Linked DNA regions of Drosophila melanogaster. The protein of the gene in region 1 binds, or shares a complex with, the protein of each later gene. Each region holds a gene or a part of one and is shown in the gene's direction. Other genes may lie near its edges.

Region 1 (7,492 bases):
GACTGAACGATGTGACTCTGTGTGGGCGTAGAGCAGTGGCTGCTAATCGATGGCGGCAGCAGGCAGGCCCATCCTCGGCGACAGTGAAAACCGAACCTCCAGTCAGTTGCCCGCGAAACTTTCACTAATCACTCACAGAGTTTTGTGTGGCAAATGACAAGTTGCGGCAATTAAAAATAATTAGCATTATTATGCAGATGAACTGGCGGAGCTCCGCTTTGCGTACGCTATTGTTATTGCCATTTGAAGGTAGTAAGGCAAAAAAGGGAAATTTCAAAACCTAGAAACCAATGCAGCCGACGCAGAAGAGAATCGTCAACGTGGGTGCGATTTCTTGGCGTTACGTTTTCTTATTTTTTAACGCAGCCAAGATGTGGGAATTGTCTCAGCCAGCGATTTCACTTGGGTGCGATTGTTTTGCAATTGCGCCGCGCACAGAATTTATGTTAATTGCACAAAGATGAGACTAAGATTTACTTTCGCCTCTTCTCCCACAGATTGTGCACAACGATCGCTCGCTGATTGTGCAGACAACGAACTGCGTGGAGGAGCGCGAGTGGTTCGACCTGCTGCACAAGATATGTCTGATGAACTCCATCCGGATGCAGTACTTCCATCCCTCGGCCTTTGTAAGTGGATTCTACAGCTGCTGCGGCCGGTCGGATGAGAATTCACCGGGCTGTAAGAAGGTGTTGGACAAGACGATGGACTACTTCCAGATGGATTTAGTAACGGCGCTGGATCCAGCGCTCGATCTGCAGCGCATCCACACGCTGATCATGTCTAACATGAGTGTGCTGGAGTCACTGCTAGATCCGCTCACCTATCACCAGTCTCTGTCGCAGACGCAACACCAACAGCACAATCCTCTGGTGCCGCTGGCCACCGATCTGCAGAAGCATTCACCACAGGCCTTCGCTGAGTTCAAGCGAACGATTGAGAAGCTGAGAGAGAAGGCCTATGCCATCGATAGAGATCATCGGGACTACAAGCAGGGCATTACGCGGCAACTGAAATACGGCAGCAGACAGGCACCCATTGGCGATGATAACTATTGGCATATGATGCGAGCCGCCGGCCAGTTGAATCAGCAGCATCACCAGCAGCAGCAACATCAGCAGCAACAGCAACAGCAGCAGCAGCAGCAACTTCAGCAGTTCCAGCCGCAGCCAGTGCTGCCGCAAATGCAGAACGTTCGGGCGTATCCTTATCAGCCAGCTACGAGCAACATGAACGCCTACTGTCTGCACAACATGCAGTATCAGCAGCAGAGATTGCCGTTCCATCAGCAGCAACAGCAGCACCATCAGCAGCTCCAGCAACAGCAGTCGCAGTTCCAGCCCCTGCGCAGCCATCAACTGCAGCGCCACAACAACAATTTGAACAACAATAACTGCGGCAATGGATCCTCCTCCAGTCCATCATCGACCACATCAAGTGTGGTGGCCGCACCGCCCAGCACCACATCGTCATCGCAGCCAGCTCCACCGATTTATTAGCGTTCAAGGCTGTGCGTATTCGCTTTGCCGCGGGCCATTATCACGACCAGGTAAAGGAATACGCATCGATGTGGCAAACACAACCCCCTACCGCTCCTACGCAACCAGAGGATGCTGCTGTACAAAACGATTAATTGTGCTAATTTCTAGGCTCTTGTTTTTTTTTGTATCATTTTTACGAGTTTAACGTTGTAAAGGTCTAGACTAAGTTTTTTTAATTAACAGTTTTTATACACCAGATTTTTACGGTACCGCCTACACCAGCTACAACAACACGAGGAGAAAACAAGAGGAACGGAAACGAAATCTAAATATTTATAAGCCTATTTATTTTTTTGTATGTGCTAACATTATTTTTACACGAAAACAAAATACCCAATATGGAAAGAGCATTTCTATACTTGTGTGAGCGCAAAGAGGGCAGAGAACCACTGAAAACTGATAACTTTATAAGCCTAAACTACTAAAAACTCAGAAACTGCTAAGATTTTTTAAAGCCTAGCCTAAGTTAAGTATCGGCGGGATGATGAGTAGCGAAATGAAAATGAAAAGATGTAAATAGCAGATACACGAGTATATATATATCCCACAGTATGTATGTACATGTGTATGATTAACTTCATTATACCAGTTAATTTAGGCGTAGCAAAAATTTCTAAAAAATCAACTAAACTAGGCGTTTTGCCCAGAGGCGACACACGCGAAAAGCAAATAATTCTAACGCAATCTGAACGCGAGAAAAATACTGCGAAAAGCATGAAAAAAACATACATTTACATGTATATTTACTTTATATAACTGTCATACAGCTAATGTTAAACAACACACGATATGTATTCGGCAAATTCTAGAATACAAACAAAAAGCATTGTTAAGAACAAATTTACTTCCATTTTGCATATACAAACACATACGCACGCACACCTATATTTATTAAATGCATTTAATTTCATATTAAACTTAAAACGAAAAACAAGTTAATTGTTACACAAACACGATTTGGTTAGCTTCGACTTACTTCCACCGATTTGTTTCCAAAGCTCTTCCATATTAATTACACATGTAATTTACATCTAGAACTAGAATGTTAAATAATCTAATTTTTGCCATATTTAGTTCAGTGTTCATCAATCGCATTGAAAAGTGTCTTCCTTCGCCGCGTTCAATCATATTGCCTTTTGTTTATGCATTCCAATCCAATAATTTGTGCATTTCTTAATTCTAATATCTGCATAATGTACATAGAGATACGAAACGGAGAAAGAAACACGACGAGATGTTGCTATGAATTTAAATTGTTTGGAGTTTCCAACGTGGTTCATATACATATAATTTCACTTGCATTTTAAGGACACAATTATAGTTTACTTTTACCATGCCTAGCTGATAAGTTGTTGGTACAAAGAATCGAAAATAAAAACATAGATATTTTCCAAGGGAAAAATAAAGCGTATCGCCAATGGATAAATTTTGATTTCGTTTTCTTTTGAGTTTATTATTGATAGAGCTTTCATATTTTATTGTGATAGGATTATACAAGCACCTTGTCAAGTACTATTGGATTACCTATTTTTCTATATAACATCCAATATATATGTATTTGATTTGGTTCAGAATTCAAAAATATTTAGGGGGATTATATTTCTATTTTCTTTCTTTCTTTAGAAACAAGTTTTTTTTTTACGAGGTTGAATGAAATATACAGAAAGTTTTTCTGGCTTTGCTTGTTTGTGGATACAATAGAATTTTTTAAACAGTAAACAAAAAATTAAAAAAAACAAAATTATAAAAAAATGTTTTCTGTTTTAAAAGGCTAGCTATAAAAAAAGCTAGGTATGGCGAGCACTGTTCCCATTTTCCATCCCTGGTTAAGGCTGTGTTATCGTTATCGGGAGACAGCTGATTGGCGGCATCTTCATTTACAAACAATTGTGGAATTTGCAAACTTTTGTAAAAATGGACTACGATTTCAAGATGAAAACGCAGATAGAGCGTACGAAAGTGGAGGACCTATTCAACTACGAGGGCTGTAAGGTGGGACGCGGAACATACGGCCACGTCTACAAGGCGAAATGGAAGGAGACAAGGTGAACTGGTCATCGGGTGCTCTTCAAACAATATAAATAATTATAGTATTCATGTTCTTTAGCGATGGCAAAGAATATGCCTTGAAGCAGATCGACGGCACCGGATTGTCCATGTCCGCCTGCCGCGAGATCGCATTGCTGCGCGAACTGAAGCATCAGAACGTAATTACCCTCATCCGGGTGTTTCTGTCGCACAACGACCGCAAGGTGTTCCTGTTGATCGACTATGCGGAGCACGACCTGTGGCACATCATTAAGTTCCATCGGGCTGCTAAGGCCACCAAAAAGCAGGTTGTGGTTCCCCGCGGTATGGTTAAAAGTCTGCTATATCAGATTCTGGATGGGATTCACTATCTGCACAGTAATTGGGTGCTACATCGTGACCTGAAGCCGGCCAACATCCTGGTGATGGGCGATGGCAACGAGAGGGGCCGCGTAAAAATCGCCGACATGGGTTTCGCGCGGCTCTTCAATGCCCCATTGAAACCGCTGGCAGATCTGGATCCCGTGGTGGTTACCTTTTGGTATCGCGCTCCGGAACTGCTGCTTGGCGCTCGTCACTACACCAAGGCTATCGACATCTGGGCTATTGGCTGTATTTTCGCCGAACTACTCACTTCGGAGCCCATCTTCCATTGCCGCCAGGAGGACATAAAGACCAGTAATCCGTACCATCACGATCAGCTAGACCGCATCTTCAATGTGATGGGCTTTCCGCAGGACAAGGACTGGGAGGATATCAAGAAGATGCCGGAACATCATACGCTGACAAAGGACTTTAAACGCTCCACATACTCCACCTGCTCGCTGGCCAAATACATGGAAAGGCACAAAATAAAGCCAGACAGCAAGGCCTTTCACCTGCTGCAGAAGCTGCTGCTAATGGATCCCAACAAGCGCATCACCTCCGAACAGGCCATGCAGGATCAGTACTTCCAGGAGGAGCCGCAGCCCACGCAGGACGTGTTCGCCGGCTGCCCCATACCGTATCCCAAGCGTGAATTCCTCACCGACGACGACCAGGAAGATAAGTCGGATAATAAGCGACAGCAGCAACAGCAGCAGCAACAACAGCAGCAACAGCAGCAGCAACAGCAGCAGCAACAACAACAGCAGCAGCAGCAGCAGCAAATGAACGCTGAGCCGAATGCAAAGAGAGTTCGATTGTCCGGAGCTGGTAACCAGCAAGATTTTCACCACCAGCAGCAGCAGCAACAGCAGCAGCAGCAACAACAGCAGCAGCAGCAGCAACAGATGATGTTCAATCAGCAGCAGAACTTCCAGCGCTTCAACTGAGAGACTGATACATGCAGCATTTTTTCTACAACACCTACTAATTTCTAGCCTTCTAAGTATTTAATTTAATGACCTTGATAATAGCAAGTAAAGTGTACGATATAAAACGTTGATTTTTAATGGACAGGGTTTTCTTTATTTAATTTTGTGAACTCCAATTAACTCAAATTCGTTGAAATATCTTTCCGAAGGATATTCAAAAATAAATTTGAATGCATGTTCTTTCCTCTCAAAAATGAATTTCTCAAACGAAGTTTTGAAAACTATTTTTAAAATTGGTTCGAGTCTGAGCTATTTATTTAAAGCATGTTATGTTTTTGTGTCGGCTTGGGTCACGATACGCAAGTATCGATTAAATGTAATCGAAGGTGCCATCGCTGTGTTGCCAGCTCTAGTAGAATTTGTTAGAATATTTTACCGGATTTGCCATTTGCTTTGCAATACAAATTAGAAGAGAATATCCACACAGTGACCATTAAAGCGTAAAGAGCCAAATCTAACGTTTTCCAAATTAAGATCAAAACCGCCCGTCTGGCGACATCGATGAGATCGTGGCCCTCGCCCAAAACCCAGCTGGCTGCCAACTTGAAGATTGTGGCGTAAATTGCCCTCCGGAAACGCAGTTGCAATTGCAGTTAACAGGCGAAAGTCACACAAGTAAGTGGGATTCGGAATGGAGGCGGTGGTGCAGGCGGAGGCGGACGACAACAATGCGTCGGATGTCCAGCGGGGTGTTGGTGGGGCATTGCTGGCCGTAGTGGCCACCCAGTGGGCGGCAATGGCAACCCCTCCAAGGGCACGAGGTTTCGCCGCGACCTGTGCCATTATAATCTGGCGAACATCGCGATTTCAGTGCCTGTTCGGCTACTGCCGCCGTGATTCACGATTGTCCAGCAGCAACAGTGGCAGCAGCAACAGAAACAACAACCATAAAATCTACGAAATCATCAATGACTCCCAACCGCCTGACGTAATTATCCGCGTGCATTGTTCGCAACTAAAGCACACTCTGGTCTTTGCCCATTGTTACAGGTAACACAGATAGCCAGGATGCAGAACAATCCCAGCCCACAGCTACCCTGCAAGGGTATACTAAAGACTTCGCGTAGCTTCGACAAGTCGGGAGCCAGGTGAGGTCATCGAATGACCCCAGTTAATAGCCCTTATTAATTGGTTTCTTTTTCATCCTTTTAAAAAGTTTTCGCAAAAGTGCCAAGTTCGATGAGCTGAACGTGATGCAGACCTTCCATCCGGCCGACAAGGACTACGGACACATGAAAATCGATGAGCCCAAAACGCCGTACAACTACACGGAGGGCTTCGACGAGAACAGGGACGAGCTGGACACGGAGTTGCTAGTGGAGAAGTATGTGGAGCTTTCCTATTGTTTACTTGCTAAATGGTTTGGCAAGAGCACAGAGTATCAAGTTTCAAACAAAACTGATTTCCAGAAAATGCGCCGTTCACATTTGTTTGTTTACATGTGACTTATAGATTCAGAGATTAAACAATCGTTGATAATTATACGATTTGCAAAATGATAATCAAATATATCAACATTATTGAGCAATATGACTGCCTCAGATTTCTTAAGAATATAACTAGCTAAATTCATAATCAATAATTTGTTTGAAAAGAAAAAGTTTTTTTTGAAATTTGAAGACTTATTTTAAAGCCGTGCCAGTCATTTTGTAGTTTACATATTATTGCACTTACAATTACTAAAAACACATACTAATTTGCAGACTCCGCATAGCGGCTAACACACAGCCGTCGACAGAGAGCATCGAGGACGATGGTTCCTCCGGTGATGACCAGCCCCTTAGCGAAGAGGAGCGACGTAAGTACCATGAACATCTCAGATTCCAACAATTGCTCAAACATATTTGCTTGCAGAACGGCGGCGCGAATTCGAGCGACGCCGTAAGGCCCACTATCGCGAGTTTGAGGCCGTCAAACTGGCACGAAAACTGATCCAGGAGGAGGACGACGACGATGACGACGAGGACAAGGGTGCGGATAGCCGGCCCTCGGGCTCGTCACAGGGCGCTTCCAGCTCCGGACGTTTCGCGAGCAGTTCGACCAAACGGTCGAGCTCTCAGGCTGACTCCACCACATCCCCGTCTACCAGCGCCGGCCAGAACATGGACCTGGAGCCATCGAATAACTAGAAGCAATGTCAACCCATCAATCAATCACTAATGTTTACCTAGCGGACAATGGACGATTCTGAGGGCAGCTCATCCAAAACAATAAACAAACGAAATTATATCAAATTATCAAGTGCTGTGCGAGTGCGGAGTGAGAAGTGGATGCTGATTAGCAGGGTGGCGAGGAGCACTCGTGATTAATTGAATTTACCCAACTAAACACAAAAAACAAACCGTCGCCAAGGAGATGCGTCATCGAGTAGTGAACACAGCCGATAAGCCGAGGGGCACTTTATTGTTGCAAATTGAGTTTAGAGCACAAAGAATGTGCACCTGGTCGGAGAATTTGATTGTACGACACAAAATATAATTAATCGTATGCGTCTCAGCCGTAGCGTCCTGTATTGTTGCAAATGTAGTTAAACAAAAGTCTTTCAAATTGATATCGAGATGGAAAGCC
Region 2 (7,034 bases), about 10 Mb from region 1:
TACTTACATTGATTTTTTTAATTAAAATTGATTAAATTTAAATTTATTTAAATTTACTTTAAGGTCATGTTATTATTTACTGTAATTCTATTAAGAAACAAAGCTTAAACAATAGTTAAAATATCTTAGCTTTAACCTTTTAGCTTGAATCTTGCCAAAAGACTCTTACTTCGAAAATTGTCATCACTGCCACCAGTCCAATTAGTAAATAAATAGAACTTACCGACTTGGGATAAATTTTTCCATGTCAGGCGTACATAAACCAGTTGCCTTTGCTAATCTGGCCATTTGGCGCCTGTGACGGTCCCGCGCAATGAGCATAGTCAGCTAATAATGGCCCGCATCACCAGTATTCTGGACTTGGACCCCAGTTCTCTGTTGTTCATCTTCAAGCTTCTAAGCTTGGAGGACCAGTTGCACTTGGCGCGATGCTGTCGCATTTTTAGGGATGCCTTTCTTCGCCTGCATCGCCATGATTTCCAGGATGTTGTTGACAAGGATATGAGTATAAGGACTCTGGAGGATTGGCGCACCTTTCTGTGGCTCTGTGGCAGTCGCATCGGTACACTGGAATCCCACTTTGACGATGATCACCCGCTGCAGCTGCTCCCGATGATCAGCAGACACTGCTACCGACTGAAGTCCATCTCTATATACAATGCAACAGTGGCACGGGCGCAACCGTATTTATTGAGGATGAGCTCCCTGGAAAAGGTGCACGTGCGTAACTACAAGAGCACCAGCAAGGATCTAATAAAAGCCATTGGGATACACCTTCCGCGGGTCAACAGTCTGAGCCTGGAGAGCTTTGAACGCAAGGAGTGTAAGAACTATTTAATGTTCACCTTATCACAACAATATTATTTAATTGCTTCTCCCTTCACAGTACAAGAAGTACGTCAGTTTAGCGAGATGCTGGAACTTGGCTTGTACGACGACGTGACCGCCTCGGAATTCGCAACAATTGTGAAACCCATGAGGAAGCTGCGATGCCTTCAGCTGCGCAACGCCAAACGCTTTCTGACTACCAGCAATCTCAGGATGCTGGCCACCAACTGCCGCCACCTGGAGAAGCTGACGTTCAATGACTGCGACGCCGATCTGTTGGTCCTGCCGCAGTTTGTAAACCTCAAGTACCTGCAATTATACTGCTCGGAGGATATGAAAACGCGCCTGTTCAAGGCACTGGCCAAAAGCCAGTGCTCCATTCAGTTGGAATACCTCATCCTGCACCGCAAACGCTGGATTGACGAGGAGCAGGCGCAGTACATCAGTGCTTTGAAGTGTCTCCGGTGGCTGGTCTGCAAGCCTCGTGACGATCTGTGTGTTCACCACTTGGCGAAGTTGAGTCGATTAGAGTGCCTTTCCATACAGTCCGCTCGTGAGATTGGAGAAACGCAGCTCTCCCTTTTGGTGGCCAACAATGAGCGCCTTCGGTATCTGAACATTTGCTATTGCCTGGGCATCACAGACGCCTTCGTCTTGGACACGCTGGCCAGCTTATCGAAACGCTCAGCTCATCAAACCCTAGAGCTATTTGCCGCGGCCACTGACATTAGGCATGACATCATGGAACGGGTGAGTAATATTTAAAGCACATACATATATTCGAAAGTCCTTATGTTAATGTGACACTTTGTGCTTCGTTTGCAGCTACCGCACGAATTTCCCCTGAAAATGCTCTGTTTGAACTTCGAGTGCAGCGATGGAATGACAAGCGGCGGACACTTTTATGCCGATGAGCCGGAATTCGATCGCCAAGCCTTGTGAGGCCTTATTCGTTTAACAACGAATGTTTCTTCAATCATTACCAAAAATACAACGTAAATTATTTAATATTTATACGCAGCTTTATTCGTGATCTTACCACTTTGAGTGGTATTTCTTTTGTTAGTGCACAACGATGTAACTTTTTCACTGCATAATTAAAAAATTACGTCATATTTAAAGTACTGTATCAGGTTGATTGGGGATGTGTGGCTGAACATGATAAGATTACATTTGTAATATTTACAACCATTTAACACTTAGCTTAAATTCGATTGCATCCGCTAGATTGTTCGCGGGATGTTATCGAACTATCGATGGCTCATCGCATTTTTTCGCCCCACCACTGATATTTTGATTTGTTGTTGGGTTGGCGAACAGAGGAAATCGGGAATTCGCTAAGAAAATCTGTTTATAAAACGCAACTAGAGGGCCGCGAAGATGCTGTCCATGCTGCAGGAGAAGCGTCCGCTGAAGCGCACCCGTCTGGGTCCGCCGGACATCTATCCGCAGGACGCGAAGCAGCGAGAGGACGAGCTGACGCCCACGAATGTGAAGCACGGATTCACGACGACGCCACCGCTGTCCGATGAATTCGGTACGGCCCACAACTCGAATGTGAACGCCAGCAAAGTGAGCGCATTCTTTAGCGGCGTCCTGGCCAAGAAGGAGGAGCTGATGACCCTGCCGGACACGGGGCGCAAGAAGCAGCAGATCAACTGCAAGGACAACTTCTGGCCCGTTTCGCCGCGTCGCAAGTGTACGGTGGACGCCTGGTTTAAGGACCTCGCCGGTAACAAACCCCTACTTAGCCTAGCCAAACGGGCTCCATCGTTCAACAAGAAGGAGGAGATCTTCATTACTCTGTGCGAGAACCAGGTGAACATGCAACGCGCCACCTGGTTCATCAAGCTGAGCGCCGCCTATACGCTTAGCTTCACCGAGTCTAAGAACAAAAAGCGATCCATTTACGACCCGGCTGCCGAGTGGACCGGCAACATGATCAAGTTCATGAAAGAGCTGCTTCCCAAGCTCCAAGAGTATTATCAGCAGAGTGAGTACAGTCCTTAAGTTCTATAATCTATCAACTCCCTTATTCAACTTCTTGATTTTAGACCACGACAAGTCCTCTTCGAATGGCACCACTTCCGGAAGCCTGACCGCCGCCGGTAATGGTCCTGCCAGCAATGGCTCCACTGGCACCAGCTCTATTAACTCCGTCACCGGTAGCAGTGCTTCCACGAACGTAATCCCGGTACCCAGCATGGCCAGTCCACTGCCACCGATTCATAGCCCAGCTAATGGCCAACAGGCAGCTCCTGGCGGAGGAGTGAATGCCGGCAGTGTCATGCCGACGACGGGAAGCCTTGGCGGAGTAGTCGGTGGGCCGGGGTCTTCTGTGGTAGGAGGCGCAGCGGGTGCAGGAGCTGCAGTTCCACCAGGCTCTACAATTTCTGGAATTGGAAGCCAGTTCGAAGATAGTCGCAATGCGCTTAAGTATTGGAAATACTGCCACCAATTGAGCAAGTACATGTACGAGGAATCACTTTTGGACCGACAGGAATTTCTAAACTGGATCCTCGACCTTTTGGACAAGATGCGTACGCAGGCAAGCTTCGACGAACCGTTGAAGAAATTGGTGCTCAGCTTTGCCCTTCAGTACATGCACGACTTCGTCCAGTCGGAGCGTCTTTGCAGAAAGATGGCCTACATAGTGTCCAAAAAACTGGCCCAGTTGCTGAACACTGTCGTAGAACAGCAGACCATCAAAGAGTTGGACGAGCCGAAGTTGCAACAAGATCCCTATGAGCTGGCGCTTCAGGAACAAATGAGTTGTCCCCATCATCGGGATATAGTGCTGTATTTAAGCACGATCCTACAGATCATCACAATCGAGTGCCCCACAGCTCTGGTCTGGAGTGGGATAGCAGCTCACCGAGCACCCTCCTCGTTGTTGGGTAGTCCGCTGGACCATTTGCCTTTGGCGCCCTCAGTCTTGCCGATGCCCACACGCTGTCCGCGAACCAATCACGAGATTCGACGTCAATTGCGGGCCGCCGAGTCGGACATCGTATTGCGCACTCAGCATGCAGAGCAGCGCTGGTTTGCAGCCAAGTGGCTGAGTGCCGGCAAGAATCAATACACCAGTGTGCTGGCTACACTGGACCACTTGGACACGCACTGCTTCGATCGCATGGAACACAATAATAGTATCGATACCCTATACGCACAAATATTTCCCAGCCCAACTGTCAGTCGCAGGCGGGAGGAGGATCAGGTGGAACCTCGTCCGCCTTATGAACCCAAACAAGACAAGGACACGGTACGCATTCTGTGCGAGTGGGCTGTGTCGGGGCAGCGTTGGGGAGAACACAGAGCCATGGTGGTGGCCATTCTACTTGACAAGCGCCAGATCGACGTGACAAGCACGCCGGCGGATCAACAATCCAGTGATAAGGATGACAAGGACTCGCTAGCTTCGGGCGCCGGCTTAATTGATGGCCTGCCTGTGTTTCAGCACGTGTTAATGCACTTCCTTGACCACGATGCTCCCGTCCTCGATGAGCACGTGAGCAGTCCACAGCAGCGCACGGAATTTACCAACCTTGTTCAGCTGTTCAGTGCATTGATTCGCCACGATGTCTTTTCGCACAACGCGTACATGCACACTCTAATTTCACGAGGAGATCTGCTCCTGGAGTCGGTGCTGGTGATCAAATCAGGAACAACGGCCACGAAAACATCGCCGCCACCTCCAGCTCCACCACCAACGACGACGCACGGTTTCGATGATGACGGATTCGGCGGGGGCCTGGACTTCAAACACAACGAATTTGATGATTCCAATGTGGACGACGATTTGGACAAACTGGTGCAAAATATTAAGGAGAAAGGACAACAGCACGAAGCTCCAGACAGTCCCAAGATTGGTCCTCCAGGCGATGGAGAAACCAATCCTGGCGGTAGCATATCGCGGCATTACGTGTACACCAAGCACTTCCCCATCCCCCAGGATGATCCCAGCATGAGCAGCTACAGCAGTGAAAGCAACCAGCGATACATCCTGCTCTTCGGAGTCGGCAAAGAGAGGGACGAGAAGAAGCATGCTGTCAAGAAGATGTCTAAGGAAATTGGAAAGCTTTTCACAAAAAAGTTTAGCATAGATGTGGCGGCGGCCGGTCATGTGAAGAAGCACTCGCGCAACGAGTTTAACTTCGAAGCTACCACGTCCAAGTGCCAGCAGATGGCTTATTTCGACCAGCATGTGGTCACAGCCCAATGTGCGGCCAATGTCCTGGAGCAGCTGAACGGATTCGCGTTAGGGAACAACAACTACCTGCCGGTACAGGAGCACGTGGCGTTCCTCTTTGATCTGATGGAGCTGGCTCTTAATATCTACAGTCTTTTGGAACTGTGCGATAGTCTGTTGAAGGAGTTGCCTGAGGTGGAGCACCAGTTGCAGCTAAAGAAGTCAAACCTAGTGCGCAGTTACACCACTTCACTTGCCCTCTACATCGTCAGCATCCTGCGGCGCTACCACAGCTGCCTTCTTCTTTCACCGGAGCAGACGCTGTCTGTTTTTGAGGGAGTCTGTCGTACCATTCGGCACGTATCGAATCCGAGTGAGTGCACTTCGGCGGAGCGCTGCATTATTGCCTACCTGAGCGACCTACACGAGTCGTGTGTTTTGCTCCAGGGAAAGGAACAATCCACGGAGTACTACCAGCAGCTGCAGTGCATCAAGCGGTTCAAGGACATATTCAACACTCCAGAGCAGCTTGAGTGAGTTTAGATCGCAAGTTCTTCCCCAATAATATAATATATAATATTAACAAATATTACCATTTTTTATTTAGCCTACCACCTCAGGGTTACAACCCACTGTTGTTGCAGGAGCTTTTCATGGCCCCTCGACGCGGTGGTAAACTGGATCCTCACTGGCTGGGAACCCTGCACGAGTCGCCGGCCAATGTATACAGTTTCGTGTCTAACGCATTAATAGCCGTCTGCCGAGAGACGGACAACGAGCGGCTGAACGATGTGGCCCTCGCATGTGCCGAACTGACCGCCAGCTGCAACGTCTTGTCTGAGGAGTGGATATACGCACTGCAGAGTCTGTGCAGCGGCAGTAAGAGTCCGCGTTATCCGCACCTGGGCGGACAGGTCGACATTGGACAACTTAAGACTCACAACGCCCTGGCCGTGTTCGTATGCATTCTGGTGGCCAGACATTGCTTCTCACTAGCCGACTTTGTAAGTAAGTTCGCCCTGCCTACATTGGCCCGATCGGTAAGCGCTGGTGGAGCCGAACTGAGTGTAGATGCAGAGGCAGGTGCTCGTCTTACATGTCACTTGGTGCTGAAGCTGTTTAAGACCTTGGAGATTCCTCAACCTGGCATGTACTCGGTAAGCACTTCCCCGAATCCACTGCACGCTGTGGGAAACGACTTTAGCATTCGGCTGAGCTGCGATCGTCATCTTCTGGTGGGTGCCCATAAGACCATTCCCATTGCCGCAGTGCTTGCCGTGCTCAAGGCCATTCTCATTGTTGTGGACAATGCGGCGCTTAAAACACCATTGGCTTCCGGCAGCGGCACCTCCTCTGGCGGATTGGGCGGAGCTTTTGGAAGCGGCAAGCGTAGTGGCTTCAATACACCGGTCCATCCGGGAAGCACACCCAAGAGCAACGAACAACGACCGGCCGATCTCAGCCAGATCCTGGGCACCAGCGATTTACAATTGGGCAGCAGTTTGACAAGCGAACCCGAAGCCCTGCAACAGCCATCGGTCGGAGGAATGGAGCAGATCTCGCTGTTGGAGTTCGCCCAGGCGGTGCTCAAGCAGATCTGCGCCCAGGAACACGTTCTGGAAAGATGCCTAAAGAACGCAGAGCAACTCTGCGACATGATAATCGACGAAATGCTGACCGCGAAACAGGCACAGCGGGTTCTGCACATGATCTGCTATCCGGAGCCTGAGTTTAACATCATCTCCGAACTGGATCAGCGCTCAATGATCGTACGCATACTAGAGAATCTCGGACAGTGGACACTGCGTATCTCGTGGCTGGATCTTCAGCTTATGTACCGCCAATCGCTGAGCAACAACGCGGAGCTTAATGTTTGGCTCGACACAGTGGCACGCGCGGCAATCGACGTCTTCCACATGGAGGAAGTTGTCCTGCCGGGTGCCGTGAAGGCGACCCACAAACCCAAACCGTCCACCTGGCTAGTGGCTCCACTCATCGCTAAACTAACACCAGCGGT
Region 3 (5,713 bases), on another chromosome or scaffold:
CTACAATGTCCAACAACAGCGGGGCGGAACCTCTTAAACCCTCAACCAGTACATGGAGGAGCGGATTCTGTTGTAGTCGGGCAGGTTCTCAACGGGACCCACGGCAGCGACGGCTGGGCACCGATCGTAGATGTACTTCATTGCGACGTCGCGCACATTGCCCACACTCACGGCATCGATGCGCTGCTCCAGCTCGTGCAGCGGGATGCGGCGGTTGTAGCACAGGATCTGGCGGCCAATGTCCTCGCAGATGGGTGTGGTGCCGTCGAGCTGCAGCAGCATGTTGGTCTTCAGAAGGTTCTTGGCGCGCTCGACCTCAGCCTCGGTAACCATGGTGCACAGACGCATCCACTCGGTCTGCACGTTGAAGAGCATATCCTGGGGAAGAGGTTTGTTTACGTAAAATTTGCTTTCTCTCGAGAGTTTTCTGTTGAATCATTAATTCTTCTTACCTCGCACTGCAGAGGGTCGCACACGAAGTAAATGCCCCAGAGTCCGGTGTCCTTGTAGCATGTGTTGAACGATTGGAAGCTGTGGCAAAGGTCTGTAGGGCAATAATAGTTAATAATCTCCATATCCTGGTCGTCTTACTGATGTACACTTACTGTCCTCAGCGCTGGCACGGGCCAGGTTGGAGGCGTTGTTGGCGCCACCGCCTTGGGAACGATCCCAAGCACCCACCAAGGTGTTGGCCACCATCAGGGGGATGTTGTCCTGGTCGGTCCAGCCGCAGCCTTCGACGGCGATGGCGACATGGGCCAGGGGCAGGGAATCGTCGCGCACACGCACCTCGGAGCCGGTGAAGCGGCAGGGAGTCACCTCCGCGGGCAGCACACTGGCCTCCAGGCCACCCAAGCTGCTGCAGGCAAGCTTGACCAGATCATCGTGCTTGACGCCGCCAGCAGCGGCCAGAACGATGCGCGAAGCCTTGTAGTGGGTCTGGATGTAGTCGGTCAGATCGGCCTTGCCAATGGACCTAAATAAATGAAGATTTTAATTAGAGACAGAGCATTTGTTATAAGAGCTGAATATACGTACTGAATGTTCTTGGTGGGTCCCAGGATGGTCTGGCCCAGAGGAGTGCCCTGATAGGCGGTGGCGTGAAGGTGATCGAAGACCACCTCCTGCAGGTTGCTCTCCACCTCCTGCATCTCGCGCAGAATCACCGAACGCTCGCGGGCGATCTCAGCCTCACCCAGCTTGGAGTTCTGGATGATGTCGGCCAGGATCTCGACGGCTTTGGGCACATCCTTGGACAAACACTTGGCGTAGAAGACGGTCTGCTCCCTGGAAGTGTAGGCGTTCAAGTGGGCGCCCAGGTTCTCAACCTCCAGCTCCAAATCCGTTTGCGAGCGCTTGGCGGTACCCTAAAAAGTGGCAGAAACGCATATTATACGCATTTAAAGCATCAAGCTAGTGAGCCAACCTTGAAGGCCATGTGCTCCAGGAAGTGGGCCACTCCGTTGTTCTTCTCGTTCTCGGAGCGCGACCCAGCATCGATCCACAGTCCCACGGTGGCGGTAGAGGCACCGGAATCCTCGCTAGCCACGCGGAGACCGTTGTCCAGCTTGGTCACCTGGGTGGCGGGTATGTTCAGCAGAGTCTTCTGTAGGGTGGCAGCCGACTTGTATCGCTGTAAGTTCGGGAAAATTGGGAAAACTATAGCCCAGAGTTAAGTAAAACACGAACATAACCTCAAAGTGCTTGTAGTGGGTTTTCCAAACAGTTTTCCCAAATATTTGTTTGAAAAACTGGATGGCTCTTGAATAACTGACCAACAAGAGGTTGTTTATCCCTTTTCTCACAAGAATAAACCACAATTGCAACCAAAAACACAATCATTTACAATTACGTAATTTAAATCCTCGGAAGCGTAATCATTGGATGGCTGTCTGGACTTACTTTGATCATGTCAACGCCCCGCATGAAGGAGCGCATATTCTGCGTCACGCCAAGAACTCGCAACGCCATCGTTTTATTAATTCGTTCAATAGCCTATTACTAAAAAATATTTAAGACTTTTTCGTCTGTGGCCGCGGCGCTGATGAAAAATTCACACACACACACCAATGTACTGCGCTGCGCAAAGTTGGCTGCGGCCAGTCAGCTGTTCGTGGAAAATAGCCCTGGTGTGCACACACTGGCTGAAACGGCAACACAATTTTTTCGTTTTTCCTGGTTTTCCGGCTTGCTATTGAAATAAACACCTAATTTGGATAGCTAACACGAAAATATTGGCCGACCTAATCAGCTAGGCCTACTAGTTACGAAATGGCGGGCAATTTTTGGCAGAGTTCGCACTCGCAGCAGTGGATTTTGGACAAACCCGATCTGCTCCGGGAGCGTCAGCACGATTTGTTGGCCCTTAACGAGGATGAATACCAAAAGGTGTTTATTTTCTTCGCAAATGTGATCCAGGTGCTCGGCGAGCAGCTAAAGCTGAGGCAACAGGTCATCGCCACGGCGACGGTTTACTTCAAGAGATTCTATGCGAGGAACTCCCTGAAGAACATCGATCCTCTGCTGCTGGCGCCCACTTGCATCTTGCTGGCCTCGAAGGTGGAGGAGTTCGGTGTCATTTCCAATTCACGACTGATCTCGATCTGCCAGTCGGCCATTAAGACAAAGTTCAGCTATGCGTACGCTCAGGAGTTTCCCTACCGCACCAATCACATCCTGGAGTGCGAGTTTTACCTGCTGGAGAACCTGGATTGCTGCTTGATTGTCTACCAGCCGTACAGACCGCTGCTGCAGCTGGTTCAGGACATGGGCCAGGAGGACCAGTTGCTCACCCTGAGCTGGCGTATCGTAAACGATTCCCTGCGCACCGATGTCTGCCTGCTCTATCCTCCTTACCAGGTTTGTGATCCTGATAATTTCTACAGCTTCCTCACATTTGAAGAACCTATTTTTTTCTAGATCGCTATAGCCTGCCTTCAAATCGCCTGCGTCATCCTGCAAAAGGACGCCACGAAGCAGTGGTTCGCAGAATTGAATGTTGATTTAGACAAGGTCCAGGAGATCGTGCGCGCCATTGTAAATCTGTACGAGTTGTGGAAGGACTGGAAGGAAAAGGACGAGATTCAGATGCTGCTGTCCAAGATTCCGAAACCGAAACCACCGCCTCAGCGTTAGAAGAGCTTCATAATCATTCATCATTAGCTGGTATTGCCCAATTGTGTGTTTGTACTCATATTACCAATGTATTTATGCCAATTAAACGAAAGTTTAAGCTAGGTGACTAAGCAATCAAAAATGTCATTTACAAATTATTTTGCCTTTATAATAATTATTTCTAAATTAAATTACATAATTGCTTAAGATTAACATGCGGTACGGATCGTCTGGATTTTTTATGGTTCATTTAACCTACAGATACTTAGCTTGACCCCTGGAGAACTTGGTGTTCAATATCTTGGCCTTGTCTACAATCTGCTTGGTCTGATTCTTGTCGATCTTGTTAAGTTTCAAGTCCACATCCCTACTAAAAGGTCTTCGTTCTGGCTTGGAACCCGATGCAGCCAGTTCTTTTTCCTTAAATTTATAACAATATTATATCCATATTATGTTTTTAAGAAATATTTTTCCTCGTACCTTTTCTCTCTGCTCTTTCCTAAGCTTTTTTTGATGTAGCTCCACTAGGGACTCCTCTCGCTTGTGCTTCTTTTTGTGCCTCTTGGCCATGCTCTCCTGCTCGTCATCCCGCTGCTGTTCGTACTTGACCTGTGCCATTTGCTCGAGTTCCTTCGAACTGAGCGACTTTGGGCCCGATGCAGCAGCATCCGCTTCACTCTGCGGGGTCTTCGTCCAGGATGATCGATCGCTAAAGTCGGGTCGCTCTTTTCCCTGATAGAAAGTGCGCTTCATATTGCTCAGGGCGGCAAGGCCGCTCTTCAGTCCCACATCTGGCAGCTCAAGCATCCACTCTTCGCGGACATCTTGGTCTGTAGATGTACCCAATCCCCCGCCCTCCAGAGCTGCCAGTTTAAGTGCCAAAGCACGTTCCTCCAGAGCCACTTGACTGGCATTTGGCAGAGGACCAAAGGTGCCAGCTAGGTCATCATCGTCCTCAGCTTCCGCTTCCTTAGTAGGAGACTTTTCCCGGGTCAAATTGCTGGGCAGGACGGGTCCTATCATGGCCTGCGGTTGTGGGGCTGGTTGGCTTTGCTCAGGGAGTTCCGGCTGCTGGGTCTTCCTTAAATGCGGCGGTAAAGCGGGACCAAAGGAATCTTCGTTGTTTGTAGCCACATCTGGCGGAGATGCATTAATTAAATGTGGAGGTTGCGTGTAAGGCACAGGTGGCTCCTCCTCATGCTTGCTGCGTTTCTTCTCCTTGTGGCGACGCTTTTCTTTCTTGTGCTTTTTCGACTTCTTCTTTTTGGACTTGTCCACATCTTTGCTGTGCTTCTTAAGCTTCCGTTTCCTTTGCCTTTCATCGCTGGACGAATTGCTATCACTACTATTGTCGTCGCTGGACATGATCTGCAAATACAATTAATGAAATAATAAGTAAACCAAGATATTCCTGAGGTTATAAAGAGGTCCATTGGATGTGAAAAGAGAGAATCCCCAAGAAAACTCAGGTCTTTGGATTGGGCTAAACATTATATTGCAGTTAACAACTTTAAAGCTTAAAAGTATTTAACAAAATGCAGCTGGATGGGACAACTTAGTCGGTAGAATGATTGGCAGCCAGGGGATTAACCCGAAAAATAAACCTAAACAGCGAATGTCTTTTGAGCCTTGCGATAGCTATACGCCAATGACTTGAGAATGCCAGCACTGGGAATATTTTTGATCGATTGCGTGACACTGCTGCGCCACACAATGTCGTTGACGGATGCCTGCAGCACCTCCGGAAGCTGGGAGGCCATGGATAGGTGATTCACCACCTGGGTGTAGTCGCCACGACAGGCGGCATTTCGCTGCAATCGCTTCTGAAGCTCTCGGGGCAACTGTCGCAGGTGTTGGCATGTAGCCGATGAGGATTTGTCCTGCTCGAAGATTATGGCTGGTTTCCGGCTCCCTGGTTCCTGGCCCTTCATGTTTACCGCCACATAGTCGGAAAGTTGTCCCAGGGAGGGTTGGTATAGGGCGAAGAAGTCATTGATTTGCGGACTAACTATGTTGTGCACTTTCTGTTTGTTTTCCCCGAAAATCATACGGAAATCGCCCTTGTAACTCAGTCCGGCGATGGTGTGGAAAAGTCCGTAGGCAGTGAACTTCTCTGGTAAAAGTAGCAGAGCCACTTGCAGCGCGGATACAAGATTCCTCTCCAGCGCAGCCTTGAGGGGAGGATTATCAGAAGGATTGACCAGATTCGTCACTGGTTTGTGCAGCCTTCCTGCCAAGTAAAGATGCCGCCAGTCAAGCAGATCCTCCAGCAGCTCCTCCTGCGACACCACGCCGTACTTTATGGTAATGCCCACATCTGGCAGAGGCACCAACGTGTTGCAATAGACACCCGCACCCAAACGCTCCTGATACTTGGCCACAAAGTTCGGTCCCAGGTGCCTAAGGGCGGAATAGTGGTCCGGATGACGGTGCAGGTTCTCCGCATGGAAGCCCCTAGCATCACGAACGCAAAAGACCAGATCCACAACGGTTCCCGGCGGAGGACGCAGGTTGTTTCCATTGCCGACTTTTCCATAGCCTTCCTGCTGTTTGACGCCGGATCCGTAGGCGAACATATAGCTGACACTGCCCAGAGGAA

What was found.
Region 2: Cdk8 (region 1) and kto share a complex: the UniProt entries of both Drosophila melanogaster proteins name them as parts of the cdk8 module of the Mediator complex.
Region 3: Cdk8 (region 1) and CycC share a complex: the UniProt entries of both Drosophila melanogaster proteins name them as parts of the cdk8 module of the Mediator complex.

What each region holds. Positions count from the first base shown.
Region 1 is NT_037436.4:9,834,569-9,842,060, reverse strand, and holds Cdk8 (Cyclin-dependent kinase 8), read left to right. Parts: upstream 1-3,390; 5' UTR 3,391-3,455; coding exon 3,456-3,586; intron 3,587-3,648; coding exon 3,649-4,882; 3' UTR 4,883-4,981; downstream 4,982-7,492. Other genes in the region: RasGAP1 (Ras GTPase activating protein 1), read left to right, coding at 498-1,499; I-2 (Inhibitor-2), read left to right, coding at 5,556-5,852, 5,915-6,012, 6,081-6,248, 6,628-6,722, 6,779-7,053. UniProt on the Drosophila melanogaster protein: Component of the Mediator complex, a coactivator involved in regulated gene transcription of nearly all RNA polymerase II-dependent genes.
Region 2 is NT_037436.4:19,834,468-19,841,501, forward strand, and holds the start of kto (kohtalo), read left to right. Parts: upstream 1-2,146; 5' UTR 2,147-2,208; coding exon 2,209-2,821; intron 2,822-2,882; coding exon 2,883-5,550; intron 5,551-5,624; coding exon 5,625-7,034. Other genes in the region: CG32221 (uncharacterized protein), read left to right, coding at 334-823, 887-1,578, 1,654-1,770. UniProt on the Drosophila melanogaster protein: Component of the Mediator complex, a coactivator involved in regulated gene transcription of nearly all RNA polymerase II-dependent genes.
Region 3 is NT_033777.3:14,886,616-14,892,328, reverse strand, and holds CycC (cyclin C), read left to right. Parts: upstream 1-2,123; 5' UTR 2,124-2,271; coding exon 2,272-2,859; intron 2,860-2,919; coding exon 2,920-3,135; 3' UTR 3,136-3,325; downstream 3,326-5,713. Other genes in the region: UQCR-C1 (Ubiquinol-cytochrome c reductase core protein 1), read right to left, coding at 34-378, 453-544, 606-976, 1,039-1,367, 1,427-1,633, 1,903-1,971; CG33332 (uncharacterized protein), read right to left, coding at 3,370-3,534, 3,595-4,479; CG33331 (uncharacterized protein), read right to left, coding at 4,719-5,713. UniProt on the Drosophila melanogaster protein: Component of the Mediator complex, a coactivator involved in regulated gene transcription of nearly all RNA polymerase II-dependent genes.